2 linked regions of the Caenorhabditis elegans genome follow. The protein of the gene in region 1 interacts with the protein of each later gene in a pairwise test. Each region holds a gene or a part of one and is shown in the gene's direction. Other genes may lie near its edges.

What was found. The genes of interacting proteins can lie anywhere in the genome.
Region 2: the proteins of die-1 (region 1) and dcp-66 interact in a two-hybrid assay, tested with the Caenorhabditis elegans proteins (one large-scale study listed by BioGRID).

Annotation. Positions count from the first base shown.
Region 1 is NC_003280.10:10,061,916-10,069,724, reverse strand, and holds the start of die-1 (C2H2-type domain-containing protein), read left to right. Parts: upstream 1-1,807; coding exon 1,808-1,858; intron 1,859-2,558; exon of another isoform or gene 2,559-2,579; intron 2,580-3,741; exon of another isoform or gene 3,742-3,894; intron 3,895-5,222; coding exon 5,223-5,573; intron 5,574-5,919; coding exon 5,920-6,408; intron 6,409-6,472; coding exon 6,473-7,306; intron 7,307-7,352; coding exon 7,353-7,461; intron 7,462-7,513; coding exon 7,514-7,620; 3' UTR 7,621-7,809.
Region 2 is NC_003279.8:7,536,141-7,544,118, reverse strand, and holds the start of dcp-66 (Transcription factor dcp-66), read left to right. Parts: upstream 1-1,959; 5' UTR 1,960-2,107; coding exon 2,108-2,116; intron 2,117-2,471; coding exon 2,472-3,140; intron 3,141-3,461; coding exon 3,462-4,084; intron 4,085-4,617; coding exon 4,618-4,816; intron 4,817-4,859; coding exon 4,860-4,944; intron 4,945-5,533; coding exon 5,534-5,655; intron 5,656-5,951; coding exon 5,952-6,086; intron 6,087-6,130; coding exon 6,131-6,347; intron 6,348-6,510; coding exon 6,511-6,626; 3' UTR 6,627-7,978. UniProt on the Caenorhabditis elegans protein: Transcription factor which binds to the 5'-CCATACATTA-3' motif found in the promoter region of pgp-12 and activates its expression in the excretory cell.

The DNA of each region.
Region 1 (7,809 bases):
AATGTTATGTCCACCACCCGCCGCCACCCGCCAACACTAAATTTTTTTATGTGTGCAAGGCGAAATACGAATTTCATGTCAGACTCACTCATAGCCCCGCGGTGTCACTTGATTTGAATTACTTTTCGAATTAGTGGAGAAATAAGTGAGAGACTTGAATTCGTTAAGGGTGGGGCTTGAAATCGAATCGAATTGCTCCGATAGACCGCATGACAACCAGTTTTCAACACCACTTCACTTTTTTGCCCCGGATGTGGAACATTGATGTTAAGATACTTTTCCTGATTTACTTCCTTTTTAGGGTCGGAGTTGCAGATTTTGAGCTGAATACTCTGAAAGCGGGGTACCCAAAAACCAACAAAGTTTTCATACCTGCAAGCATACCTGACTTTACGCCTGCAAGGCACACTGGCAGGCATCATTATGTCTTACTTCATGAAATACTTTTTTAGAGATCCACCAACAACTTAGAAAAAATCCTTGTAATTCTAGACTAGTAGTGTAGTCGGGTAATTTTACAAATTACCCGACTACACTACTTAGACTTGCATGTTTTTTTGGGTTCTCCAAAAACTACCCAACCGCCAACTTTTTTTTGATCTATTATAAATCTTCAACCTGAAACTGCAGGCAACTTCCCTTATGTATCACTTTTTCCTGCCGAATTTCAACATTTCTGACCTAATTTAAACTCGTTTTCATGTTTCTCTCTCTTTTTTATTATGTCAAAACCTTGAAGTCGAAACTTCTAGATTTCAATTAGCTTTCATAACGATTTCAAAGCCCCAGACAACTTTCTGAACCTTGAAACTTAAAAATATATTATTTTAGGAGGCAGGTGAAGATTTTCATATATTGTGAGAGATTAAACGTAAATGATAATTTTTGAATTAGTTCGTTTTAAGAAAATGACTCTGATTTCATATCAGTGTCATATAATTATAGAATTTCAAATTTTCATTTTGAAAGCTTCACATTAATAGTTGTTTACCCTATTTTTGATATTCCCCAGACATTCAATTCGTTGAAATATTAAAAAAAGAATCTTGTGAATTGTTATATACACCTGCCAATTTCACTCGCCCGCCATGCACCAGTGTGCTGAAATTGAAATTGAAATTGAAATTGAAATCGAAAAATATGGAAATTTTCCACTTTTTCCTGCTTCTCCCGCCGAAAGCTCAGACCAGACCTCGACGCAGAAAAAATTTCGTTTGATTTAATTTCGAAATCACTGGCGGAAATATAAATTGAAAAGCCAAAGGTGTTGGCAGTCGGCCAAACGCGATTAGGGGCCAGCCAAGAGAAGGGGGAGAAAGAGGTTGGAATTGAAATTAATATATATTATATTTATGTGCAAGTAGGCGCTGCCCCCCACCAATATGCACATGTTATTGAGATTTCGAAAATCAGTTAGTTAAAGCTTTAGGCACCAAGTTTTATTTTTTTTCAGTATTTCGCCTTTTTTTTCAGTCCTATATATTTTTCGGCCGCTGGAAACTGGAAAACAAGCGCTCGATTTCTGCAATACCTGTGTTTTGTGTTTTTCGGTTCTTTCTTAGTATTTCGAAAAAAAAATTAAATGAAACTACAATTGTGTTCATCTATCCATCCTTCTTCTTTTGGGAATTCTCATAGACACTTGGTTTATTTTTTACTTTTTTCATCAACAATTCGTATATATTATCATATTTAAAACCTGAGAAGATTTCAAAGTATCTATTAAATTTTTCTTGTTTTTCAGAAAACGCCAGTTGATTCGACTTTTGGGAATTGTTCACAAATCGTTGAGAATCTTCATTCGGACATGATGGCCAACGCGGTCGATATGCAGCAGTTGCTTATGTCGATGGATCCGGTAAGAAACTTGGATTTTATGAATTTGCACTAGAGGAGCCATTTTTAGTCAACTTCTAAAATTAGAAGCGGAAAAAGTTTGCAAATTTCTACCTTTTGGTTTAAAAAATTTTTGCAAATTTTTGGGGGCCATAGTTTTGAATGTTTTTAAGCCTGCTTATATACATTTTGAGCCTGTATTGCCAAGACTTTGGTCATTTTGAACAATACAGTAGCCATTTGTAGGTCTACTTTTTTCAAGTTTTTCGGCTTTGATATTACCTAGCTCCAAAAATTTGTTATATATATTTTTGAATATTATCTTATTTATTTTAAAATATTTTCTATCGCCACTTATATTTTCAAACTTCTAAGACTTGGCCCTCTTTAAGCTTCTGATTTGTGTCTATAATTTTTCTAGTATTTTTTTCAGTTTTTCTTTAGAAATTAAAAGAATTTGTCTAACATGCGATTTGAATTCTTAAAAAAGAAGAATTTACGATAATCCATCCCGTTGTCTACTATTTATGCAAAATAATCAGCTTATTGCCCCTTTAGCCAAATCTAAATTTAGATAAAATCACAAGACTCGATCTGAAATTTTCTATTTGTTATCCCACTATGTTCTAGTAGATATTGTGTAAAGTTCCATTTTGGGAACATATTTTGGTTCTAGAAATTTTTTTTGATCTACCTTTGGGGTCTCTATTTTTGTCAATACTATTTTATCACTCAGTCTCAGATCAAAAGGATATGTCAAAAATGAATATTATAAAATTTTTGAAACTGTTTGTTTTTGTGTTGGGCTCACCATTAATTTATTATTAACCTTTAAGATGTTTAATTTTTAATTTTCAAAAATTGTGCGTACTACTGTATCTAACCAATATTGATTTACCACTTCCCTTTGTCACTCCACCGCTAATCCACTTGGCAATGAGCCAACAAATCTTTGAATTCCCATATTCAAATGACGAAGATGAACATCTGCTCAAATTCTAGTAAATTTGGAATTTGGGAAAAACCATCTAGCCCGTTGCGCAAATATGAAACAGATTCCAATGTCAGATGTGAAGGGTTAATTGATCGTAAAAGTGTTGTGTGGGAAGAAAGAAGAGTTTGGACCATCCGAAATAAATATGATGTAGTGGTGGTCAAGGGCGTTGATGAATTTCCATAGATAAGGTTCACATTGTTTTTTTGATGGAATTTTAGGATTGGCCTTGGATTTTGACATTTTTGTATCTCCGTTCCTTGGAAGTTTCTTTTCAAGCACTAGTTGGAGTTCTCATGTGCTTTGAATGAATCACTTGGAACTGAAACTTTGTAGAAATGAACTTGAATTCAAGATTCAAGCATGACTATTCTAGATTGACTTTATTCATTAAATTTCCTCCCGGTGAGCTCCTTCGAGTTCACACACGCCTTGCGAATAATTCATCACGGTTTCATAAAAGTTGAATAATCTTGTGGTGCTGGAGAAGTATCTCCCTCTACCCGGCTTCTGAGCTCTTTCCGTCTCCTTTTCAATTGAAAATAGAAAAGAGTGGAAAATTTTAGTAAAAATACGGAAGGTTGTCTATGTGACAAGGTCCCTTTTCTTGCCGATGGATATTTGAAACGAAAATCGCAGGAAACGATTACTCGATTAAAGTGAGACACTAGGAGACACTGCCTGGAGCCTCTTTTCGGGTGAAATTTGAATATGCTCCGCCTACTTGTTTGGGTTTTTGAGAATTCCGAGATTTTGAAGAAAGTTTTCAGTGTTTTTCAATTTATCTAATAGATTCAAAAGTGCTAACACGATTATAAGTACCAAGAAAAGCTCGGAGATCCATATTTCTCTTGACTAAAAAAGTTAAGGCGATTTCGTGTTCATACAATAATGCGTGTAGTTTCGATTTTGTTGTTCTTGAGAGTTTGAAAGTTATTTTAAGAAAATTTGAAGTTAAGGTATTTCAAAAAAGGTTCAAACAAGAAACTAGATCAAATCTTCGTTCATTTGACCCCTTTTCTTTACTCTTTGTCCACTCAATTTTTGTTTAGTTAGCCTTTTGACGCGTTCGGAGGGACCATTCAGACATCCCTCCCGGGAAGCCCCACCCTTTTCCCATTCTGTGTCTCCTCGAAACGTGTACTCTCTAGAAGTTATAAGTCCACTCTAAATACAGGGTTGTCTCCTCTTCTTCTCCTTCGTTTTTTACGTCTATCTCGCATTAGACACACAGAGACGGGAGGAGGGTCTCCCGCAACGGGACCACTCATATTCTCCCTTTTTGGTTTTTTCGTGTCTGAGTCTCTTCCCCCGTTTTTAATTTTATTTGCCCCCCCCCCCGTTCTCCCCGCGACGTTGCATTGAATTTATTGTTGAAGAGACATGGAACGGGTCAGTTGACCGACAGACGGTCCCATCAATTGTTCTTCATTTTTTCCCCTGTTCTCTTTCGATATAGTTTTATGATAGTTGAGAAGGTCCTAGGTACTGCGCAATAGTTTTTGGAACTGATAAACTGTGTTTCAAATATAACTACTGATAAGATACCTAGTCTTTTAGATCTAGAAATCGGTTCCCCAAATATTTAGTTCCATTAGAAATTTGGCAAACTTTTCTTAGATAATTCGAGATTTTGAAAATTGGTCAATTGACATTTCAATGAGCATGGTCCAAATTACCCCCTTATTTTTCTACGATGCTTGTAATCTCGTGTGAAATCTCACCTCATTAGACAATAGTCTATCCCTTCTCCCTTCACTACAGTACTCCTCCTTCCAATCTAATCCATAATTCTATTGTCTTTCAAATGACCCCTTACTCCTTCTTTTCTTTTTCATATCTGAAATCTTTTGTCAAATAACACTTTTTGATGGATCTAGTTGTCTTCTCCCTACATGTAAACTTTAACGTAAAAGAGCACAGAACATTGCTCTTGTTCCAAGACGGATGATCCCTCCACCTTCGCAGAATTAAATTTCAAAATATGTATAAATCCAAAAAAAAAATATATTAAAAACTTCCAGTAGATTTTCTTCATCTTTTTCCCATTTGGAAATGGAGCACTTTTTTTCCTAATTTTTTGATCGAAATTTTTGGCAACATATTCAATCTAATTTCGGACTATGAGCGGGGTGTGGGAAAAAAGTCATGTGGAAGTTTGAGTTTTTTGCCTCAATTTTTCTCAAATTTTTCTCAATTCACCTCAGTTTGGCATACCTAATCCCTTTATATTGAAACCACTTTACTTTGATAACCAAACACACAATTTCAATTCAAGATTGCTTCTTTTAAGCTCCCACGATCTTTCGTCTTTATAATATTTTCAACATTTGTAAATTTTCGAGTGCAAATAGTCTGCATATTTTTCATATTTCATGTTTTTGTTTTTCAGTCAAGCGCCAACCAATTCAATATGATGAATAAAGGAGGTGCTTGTGTCATGGCTACTTCTGGAGGATCTGCGAGCCCAACTTCATCTTCCGGAGCTCCATCATCATCTTCCATCATGGCAGAGACCGATGAGAAGGATATGTTCATGCCGAGCCAACTTATTCAAAACGGCCTTGCCAACAATCAATTGATGTCGATGATTCTCCAGCAACAGAGCAATCAGGCTGACTCGAACATCGCCGACGCTGGACACAACAACTCCGGAGCCGAGAAGAATATTATCGAGCTGCTGATGAGTGGAAATGCAGATTTGATGAAGTTCGCAACACAATTTGCTCAACAAGCTAAATCGGTAAGTTGTCAGCCAGACTTCATGCAAACAGATTAGCACCTAGATTTTTCAAATCTTGTACCAAGATTTAGACTTGAGAGAGTATTTGCAGATTTGAGTGGGCACCAATTTTAGAATTCTCTATTTCGTTTATTATCCAACGTTTTTTTCTTTATTTTGGATCCCATCTTTTCAAAAAGCTATAAATAGTAGAGGTGGAAGCCAATCTATTTATTAAATTATTCCTAAACGGATCTTGACAGATAATGCTGGATTTCGCTTGTTATCGTTATCAAAATTCGAAAATAGTTGTAATTTTTAAATTCCCCATTTGAATTTGCCACTTGAAGAAATAAGCCAATTTCAGGTTGATCAGGAGCCAGAAGAACAACGAGAATCCTCTCCAAGCCCACCACCAGCTGTTTCTCTGAACTCAACACTGGCATCCATGGTATTTCCGACCACCTCAACAGCTACGGAATGTAGTGCTGCTAGCACGACATCTTCAGTTGACTCAGCTCCATCTACAGTAATCGTCAATGGGCATTCGAATTCTCAATCAAATACAGATGATGATGATGTCACTCAGCAACCATCAGCCAAGAAACAGAGGACTGGAGATGAAACTCCATTGACACCAACTTCAAATAATCAACTCATGCAATCACTTCTCGCTCAAATGGGTCTTTCAAACCCGCTTCATCAGCAGAATCAGAAGCAGATGAAAGATGAATCTATGATGTTCAGTGGTCTCTTTCCACAAGGATTAGCTGGTATTCCACTGATGTTCCAGTCTCCTCTCCACCAACAATTTGCTGGAATGCAAGACTTTGAGCCATTGTCAGCTTTGTCCACAGTGAGTTTCAGTTTCTTTTCAATCGGTACATTGAAATTTCCTTTTTAAAATGCAAAATTTTCAGCCAAACAAGGGAAGTGGAGTCAAACGTCAATACTCTTCCAACAACAAAAACTTCTGTGATATTTGCAACAAGGAAGTTTGCAACAAGTACTTCCTCCGTACACATATGCTCAAAATGCACGGAATTGTGATTGATGAGAACAAGACAGTTATTGCAAATATCGACACAAGCATCAAGGAGCGAGAAGGAGAGCTTACTTTCCGATGTGACACTTGCCGAACTATGTTCAAAACTCGTAATCAGCTCAGGCAACATCGTCAGGATGTGCATGGAGTCTTGCCATTGTCAACTCCACGTAACAATCCAAACAAATCATCTGTTCCAACAACACCAAACGGAGCCAATAATAACTCTGGTCCGAATTCCGCCTCAATGTCTGAAGAAAAATGTGCATTGTGCGATAAAAGAGTTTCTCCATCAATGATGATGTTGCACATGGCTCAAGATCATTTTGGAGCTGCTGCAGCGAATGGAGATTTGAATCAAATGATGGCGATTCTCGGACAACGAAATCAATCAACTGAGGAAAAGATGAGCTCAAATCTTCTCGAATGTACTGACTGTAGTTACAAGACTCGTGATCCAAAGAATCTTGACTTGCACATGGAGAGGCATATCAAAATGAGTGAAGCGAAGGGAAGAGGCGATGAAGATGAGGATGTTGCTCTGCAGCTGACAACTGAAGCAGCTCTTCAAATGGTGGTTCAGAATCAGAATCAATATGACGGAGATTCAACGGCAGCCGCTCTCAATCTTACGTTCAAGAATGATGGAACAAAGAAAGAAATTGAAGAAGAGAAGGCAACTGGAAATCATGAGAGAAACTCTCATACGGTATGTTGACATATCTTATGATTTTAGCAACCATACTTTTTTTTAGAGTGGAAGCATTTCTCCCTCAGGATCAATTCCAGAAGGATTTGGAAAGAACATCGGAGAGAAGGCGTTCCCAACGCAGAGCTTTTTGATCAAGTGCAATGATGACAGTGGTAAGTTGACTTTTAAATTAGAGCTTTTCCTTACCAAATTTTCCATTTTCAGGTGAATTCCTCACCGAGTTCCTTGCTCAACTGCCTGTCCGATCAGTGATCGATGGACCACGTCAGCTGGTGTTCAACCTCCATCCAGCTCCACCGACTACCAGCTAGATTTGGTCCACTACCTCAAAAATGCTCTCCCACCATCATAGTATCTACCTTTTTTCTTCTCAATCTGTTGTATGGGTACCAAATGTTCCGGAACCAAATGAAAATCCCCGCCTTTCTCGTCTTTTGAAGTCCGTATCCTCCTTGTAATCTTCCACCACCACTCGCCCCAGTTCTTGATCTCCGTTACCG
Region 2 (7,978 bases), on another chromosome or scaffold:
TGCCATCAACTCTAGATGGACGCATAGATCCTAGCGTAATTTTGAGGTTATTCTATTCTTTTTAGAAGACAATTTCGGTTGTGATGATCTCAAAGTAGCGGTGTCCTGGTTTAGAAATTTACCTTCCGATGATCCGATAATCAGTAGTAGTCATCGCACCTAGCTCTATTTTTTGGAAACTAAAAGTTTTGTTAGAGACTGTATATGTAGGAACACTGTTTTGTTAGATTTTTAGTCTTTCTGAACGCGAAACATAGAGTTTCGAACCTAGAAGTGTTCAATCAACACCGAATTTAGATTCAGCTCCCGACGTGGGGAGAGTGGTTGCGATGTTGGCAGAGCAAGTAGGACATGATGATTAGACGTTTGAGCATATTCAGTTGGACAGCTGCTGCCGTCTTGGCACCACCTATATTGAATCCCAGTTGGGGTCAGGTTCGGGCCGTGTGAGATGGAAAGAGAGAGAGAAAGTAGGGAGAGAGTGAGTGTGTGCGTTTTGTGTGTGTGAGGGTGTGTGTGTGTGTGTGTGGCCGAGTGTCATTGTTCGAGTAGAATGAAGCGAAACAAGAAATAATCGATTGACTTATGTGTCCTCCTCCGCCTTCCTTCATCTTCTTCGTCCGTCCGTCCCCGTCCGTCCACGCACCCTCAGCCGCTCCTAGTGGTTTTCAATCTTCATCCTAGTCTTCATCAGCATCATCGTCGCCGTCATCTCAATTTGTTTCTCACGCGCTTAATGTTTGTATTTGTGAATGTGCCAAGTACTACCACCGTACTTGTCGGTGCAAGACACCACCATTTTAGTGTGTTCTAGAACATTTTGTAAGAGAAAAGAAGTCCACAGCTCTTCCAAATCTATTCCAAATATATTACTTTCAGGACTGAATTTTCGCTAACATGGTTTTTGGTGGATTACCGTTTCATGAATTCCAGACTATCCTAGGTTAAATTTACGGAGACTTCACCTAGTTGCGTATCTCCAACCTAATTATGATCCTTGAACCAATAATTTTGTATTGTTTCTCTAGCCTGCAGTACAAAATTAGTTAAACCTCATAGTTTCGAAATTGGTATTTTCACAAAATTCGCCACATTGTATTTTTCTTTAACTATAAAAATTCTACGATATTACCATCTGCATTGCACACAAAAAACATTCTTTTCCAATACTGTGACTTTAAAGGGGGTGACCATTTATTCGAAATGGTCCCGCCACGCGCTCTAGCGTGGCGAGACCATTTCACAAAAATGCGCTCTCCTTTAAAGTCGCAGAAGTGTAGAAATTTTTTTAAATTTTTTTTCGAAAAAAAAACACTGTTTGTGTCGTTTCTTGTTGACCTCTGCTTCACTAAACGATTTTTGAATAAAGATTTGTTCTTTAGTAGATTCTGACCACAAAGAACCCAGAAACCTGTGAATATTTCCAAATATCAGTATCTCAAAATTGCTCTAATCTTAAATTGTTTTGTATGGAGTTTCGCGAATCTTTCCAGTACGGCCTAAGCAAAACTAGCAAAACTAGAAAAAGAGTTCAACTCTCCACCACGGGAAATATGAATAACTCTTGGAAAAATTGACACGAAAGTAGTGTGGTAAAGTAAAGTAGAAAGTAGAAAGTAGGTGGCTTTTGATGAGTTGTAGATGATCACGTTCATCAAACATTTCAAAAGAAAAAAAAACTTAATTTTTCCCATGATCATCTCAACCTCCTTCCCTTTTTTTCCCTAATAACATTTTGCTTTTTTCTCTCACTATCTGCGTATCTTCTTTCTATCATCATTCCCCATTTTCTCTGCGCTCTCTTCTCTCTCTTATTGCTTTTATATTGGGTGAAATGATGTGACGTCACACGGACACCACCTCGTTTTGGATATTCAAATCTTTTGTTTTACTAATCTGCGTCTCTTTCTTACACTACACTATAAGTGCCGGTGACATTATAATTTCAACTTTTATTCCAGAACAAACTCAACACTAACTGATTGCTGTTGTTCTCTTGGACTCCAATGCAAGCTCTCGACGAACGGTGTTAATCGATTTTTATTTTGCTCCGCTCCACTTGAGTTTTGACTGGATTCCATTTATTTAGTATTTATATACAATAAATATGGCACAGGTAGGTGTTTCTATTTACAGTTATATTAAACGAACTCAAAAAATATTTCGTGTTTGGAATATTCAAATTTAATATTTATTATGTCAAGTAATTTTCATTAAAAATGGGGTAGCGAGTTCGATCAATCTAAATACTAAAATTAAAACTTACTGAATTCCGAATTCAGTTCACAAAAAATAACAAATTTTGGAGAAGACTGAAGGTTTACCCTAATAAATGAGAAAATAAGCATTTTCAGTCTATTTTTGGACAGTTTTAGTGTAATTTTAAAATTTTTGCTACCTCAAATTTAGTTGAAAATTAGAATCTTAATTGAAAAAATTCGAATAACTTTTTAAACCCAATGTTTTTAAAGGTTCAACAAGTTCCATCGTCACCTATGAATGGGATTCCTGAAAAGAATGGAAATGGTTTGAGTATCGAAGAATCAGCTTCAACAGCCGTCGCTGCACTTGCACATATTCAAAATGGAGCTGTTCTATTTCATGGAACACCTACAAAAGATTTGAATGGAGCTTCAACATCAATCGATACCGATGATTTACAACTTTCACCGAGTGATCTACGGCGGCGGAGTACACGAGCAAGTGCTCTGAAGGCTCAGGAAAAGATTAAACTGAAAGATGATATTGTACAAGGACCACAAAAACGGGCGAATGATGATGATGATATGGAAGATGAAGAGTTGGGAGATGAAATTAATGAGCAATCAGCTCCAAAAAAAAGAAGACTCGAAAATGGAAAAGAGTTTGATCAAACATGTTTCCGATTTGGACTTCGTGCGAATAATGAAGGTGAAGTATACGCAATGACTGATGAGAGTGAAAATTCTTCAATTCATGAAAGTGAAATGGAAGTTGTGAGGTATCATTATGAAAAAATGAAGAATAAGGAACCGGATGAGGAACAATTAAGAGAACGTTTAAATATGAGAAGAGAAGCTGAAAATCAGTTACGAGAAGAAGAGGCAAAATTGCTAGTTTTGAGAAAAATGAAGGATAGTCAGACAAGAGCTATCACCAAGGTTCGTTTTCTTCACTATTCGAGAAATAAAAACGCCAATTTTAGATAAAAGTGTAACTTCACAAATAGTTTAAAAAAATTTTCATCATAAAACTCGCAAAAATTCCGGATTTTTGCCCTGAGAGAATTGTAGTTAAATTTTCGGCGAGTTATGATCTGAGAATAGGAAATGCTTCAAGTTTTATGCTGATAAAATGTTTCATTCAAAAAACACACATTTTCAAAAAAACCGACAAAAGTGAAGGAAACTCTTTGTGAAACTGAAATCTGTATGAAATAAAAATAAATGATCAAAACTTTTTTGTATTAATATTTTTTCCAGCTGGCCGCCGAAACTAAAGCTGCTGATCTTGCTGAAGCGACATCTGCAGCATATAAACCAGCGGTTGCTACAAATGGAAAATCTGTTACTAATGGAAAGAATTCGATGATTGAGTCAAATAACAAAACAATGAATGGACTTAAGAATCTTTCAATTCCACAACAACTCGAATTACTTCAAAAACTATCATCTCAATCACCAGCTGCCAAACAAGCATACATTATGGCAAAGAAGAATCCAGCACAAACGACTCAACTATTCCAACAACTGATTACAATCAATAATCAAAATCTTCAAAAGCAAAAAGAGCTTTCTGCTGCTGAAACAAATGCTTCTGCATCTGCATCACCTGCAGTACAACAATCTCAACAAGCACAGCAACCACAACAGGCTCAAATCACACAATCAAAACTTCTAAATCAACAGACACCTGCACAAAGGATACAAGCAGCTCGGCTGGCTTTCAGAGCTCAAGCTGATAAGCAATTGACAACAATTCCAACACAAAAAAGTCAACCTCATGATATCACTTTCCTACCGAATCCGAATGCTTCTGCATTCCTGGCATTGCATGGATTGGATCTAGTGGTTCAGCATGTTCTCAAAGATAGATCTAATGAGACGTGAGTTTTTTTTCAAACTATGATTTGTTAAAACACATTGTGATCACGGGTGTCGTCGAAAAAATGTGGAGACTTTTTCAGAAATATTCGGAAAAATTGTTGAGAAAATTAACAGACAATTTCAACAATTTGTTTATTTTGATTTACTTTTTTATAAAACAGGAAAAATTACCAACGTTTGAAAATTTTTAGATTTTTGGTTTTGATCAAAAGCGAAAAACGAACGCTTTACGGTTTCAGAAAAACTGAATATTTCAGAATCATTTCCGGAATTACTTTTTCTGTTCCGGCTCGTATCACATTTCATACAAACAGTCAAAATTTCAAAAATTGTTGAGTTTTAGGTTTTTGAGCCAAACTGAAAATCGAAACACGAACATTTATAGAGTTTTCGGTTTCCTGTAAACGAAAAAAAATCAGACCGGACTTTAATTTCTCAAAAAATGTTTGATAATTGCATTAGAAACTAAAAACCTCGAAAGTTTTAATGTTCAAAATTGAAATGTTTTCATTAAAAAAAAAATTATATTCAGACCATATGCCGGACCATCATACGAATGTGAAGAATGTAAAACCGAATGTGCTCACACTTGGAAAGCTATTGGAAGTACACAAGATGATCTTCATCTTTATTGTGAAAATTGTGTACGATCAGCACAAAAAAGGAAAAATCGAACAGATCAGACAGCTTTATTGAAGAGAGCTTTCCAGAAGATTACGGCACAAGAAAAGGTATTTATTTCGAAATTTAACTGATTATTAAACGAATTAAAAGTTATTACAGGAGTTCGAAAAGAAAATTGCCGAAGGACAATTGGAGCAGTACGCAGAAGCAAAAGCTGCAGCACCTGCTACATCTCGTTAGTTTTATTATTTGAAAGTTAAAATAGTAATATAAAAGTATAAAAATTGTGTCCGCTATCTGAAAAAAAAACTAAAATGATCTAAATCATATTAAAATTATGAAAAGAATTAGTTTTGAAAACTATAGATCTTTGCACTAACTACAAAAAATAGGGTTTTTGTATATCATAATTTAAAAAAAAACCAATTATATAATTTTAAATAAAATTTCCAAACAAATTTTTTCCGACAATTCTTCAATTTGAAAAATTTTAATACAAATATTTTCCTTTTTTTACAAATATTTTGCTAATCTATAGTTTTTTCTTCTTTCAAAAAAATTTCGTCATTTTTTCCCGATTTTTCGACTTTCAAAAACGCAATATTTCTGTTTTTCGGTTTTTAAAATTTTCTCTGAAAAACTCTAAAAAATCGAAATTTTTTAGACGACGATCGACGCCTAAAGTCATTGTCACATTAATAGTTGAACAGTTTAATTCCAAAAAGTTGGGACTAATACACACGTATTTTTAAAAATCGTTGTATTGCTGTTAAAAACTTTTTAAAAAAATTCAAATTCCCCGATGCGAATAAAATTAAATTCAGAAACAATACCAACATCATCAACAGCAACTGTTTCATCAATTCCACTTGTACCACGATTACCACAAATTCCATCATCAACTGGATCAAGTACACCAACACAAGCAGTCAAGACGTCAACACCGGTTAGATTTTTATTTTCAAACCAAATAATTCAAAATTGAGGAATATACCTGGGAAAATATTTTTTACAGTTAAAAAAGTTCAAAATACAACATTTCCAAAAAGACATATATTTTATGAGCTTTTTATTAAAAATTTATAACATTTCGCAATTTTCTAAATTCGTGTATAATTTTTTCATGCAAACAGAAGAAAATAGGCATTGAAGAAGCTTGATGTTACTTTAAAAAATTAGTATTTCTAGACATTTTAAGTAATATCAAAAGTTAGGAAAAAACAATTAATTTTGAATTTTCAGATACACTCGACACCAAAATCATCAAGTTCAAGTGCAAAGAAGACTGCAGCACAATTGCAACAACAAAGTATGCAAGGAATGAATCAATTATTCAGTACAGCAATGTTGAGAAATAATCCTCAAATGCAACAAATGGTATCACTTTTTTTTGAAATTTCAAAAAATAAATCCTTTTCCAGTTGCAAATGTACCAAGCTTTAGCTATGGGAGGAGGGGCGGCAAATATGGCAAATAATCAAATGGCCATGCTATTCCAAGCACAAGCAATGCAAGCTGCTCAGGCTCAAGTCGCACGAGCTCAGGCGGCAAAAGCTCAGGCTGCACAAGCTCAGGCCGCACAGGCTCAAGCCCAGGCACAGGCAAATAGAGAGGCGAATCAACAATCAATGCTAATTCGTAAGTGTTTTTTGGGCGATTTTGTGAAAGATTTAGAACATTAAAAATTGTTTATTACGAGATTAGAAAGAAAAAATTGTGATTTTCCATTGTTTTCTGGTTGGAATATTAACATTTCAATCTACAAAATTGATCGAAAAGAAATAAGTTTTAAACATTTCAGAAGCTCTCATGAGTAATGGTCAAGTGAATGTTCAAGCTCTCCAACAACTTCAAAAACTGACACCTGAACAACAGAAAGCGCTGATCGAAGTTGTCAAACGTCAAACGAGGAAGTGAAAATTTCAAACTTTTTTCGGTTTCTTCAATTGATATTTTATTTCTACTTTTCCTCTATCCACTACCGACAACATAACAAAACTTGTTTCTGATTGAAATCCGGGTTGTTTTTGTATGATTTTTTGTATTCAAATATGATTTCTCGGCATCTCTCTCCCTCTCTTTCTCCTACACTTTTTAAAAATTTCCTTTTTGCAAAATTCAGACGAAGTTTCGAGAAAATCTGAAAATCCACGTGCTTTTCCATCACGGTCATTCTCCATTTTCCTGTAATCATATTCCCATCGCTTTGATTATTTTTATTTCCACAATCGCCACCCCCACCCCCACTATTATCGATTAGTATCCCTAACTTGTAACTTCCAAAAAATTGACGGTTTGTACCAAATATGCTTCTTCTCTTATAGTCTTGATTTTGCTCACTTTTTTTGATATTTCAATTTCAGTGATGTTCAAAGTTCAGATTATATTTGAAGAAGTATACATCTTTAATTCCAAAATTAGAGGGTGTTGAGTTTTTTTTCTAAAACTATCGAACGGATGTGGTTTTATAATTTCTAAATTAAATAACTATTTCGCTTTCTTTTTCCCTTAATTTCCCCCTCTCTCGTTCATATTTAACTTATTCTTAAACCGTTTTTTCTTTTCCTCTATCCACTACCGACAACATAACAAAACTTGTTTCTGATTGAAATCCGGGTTGTTTTTGTATGATTTTTTGTATTCAAATATGATTTCTCGGCATCTCTCTCCCTCTCTTTCTCCTACACTTTTTAAAAATTTCCTTTTTGCAAAATTCAGACGAAGTTTCGAGAAAATCTGAAAATCCACGTGCTTTTCCATCACGGTCATTCTCCATTTTCCTGTAATCATATTCCCATCGCTTTGATTATTTTTATTTCCACAATCGCCACCCCCACCCCCACTATTATCGATTAGTATCCCTAACTTGTAACTTCCAAAAAATTGACGGTTTGTACCAAATATGCTTCTTCTCTTATAGTCTTGATTTTGCTCACTTTTTTTGATATTTCAATTTCAGTGATGTTCAAAGTTCAGATTATATTTGAAGAAGTATACATCTTTAATTCCAAAATTAGAGGGTGTTGAGTTTTTTTTCTAAAACTATCGAACGGATGTGGTTTTATAATTTCTAAATTAAATAACTATTTCGCTTTCTTTTTCCCTTAATTTCCCCCTCTCTCGTTCATATTTAACTTATTCTTAAACCGTTTTTCTCTCCTTTTTCTGAATGTTCTTAAGACTTAGCGTCGTCATCTATTCATGTGATTTTCTTCTGTTTTATGAAAATTGCCCTTCTCTCGTGCAAAACGTTCCATTTTTGATAATCA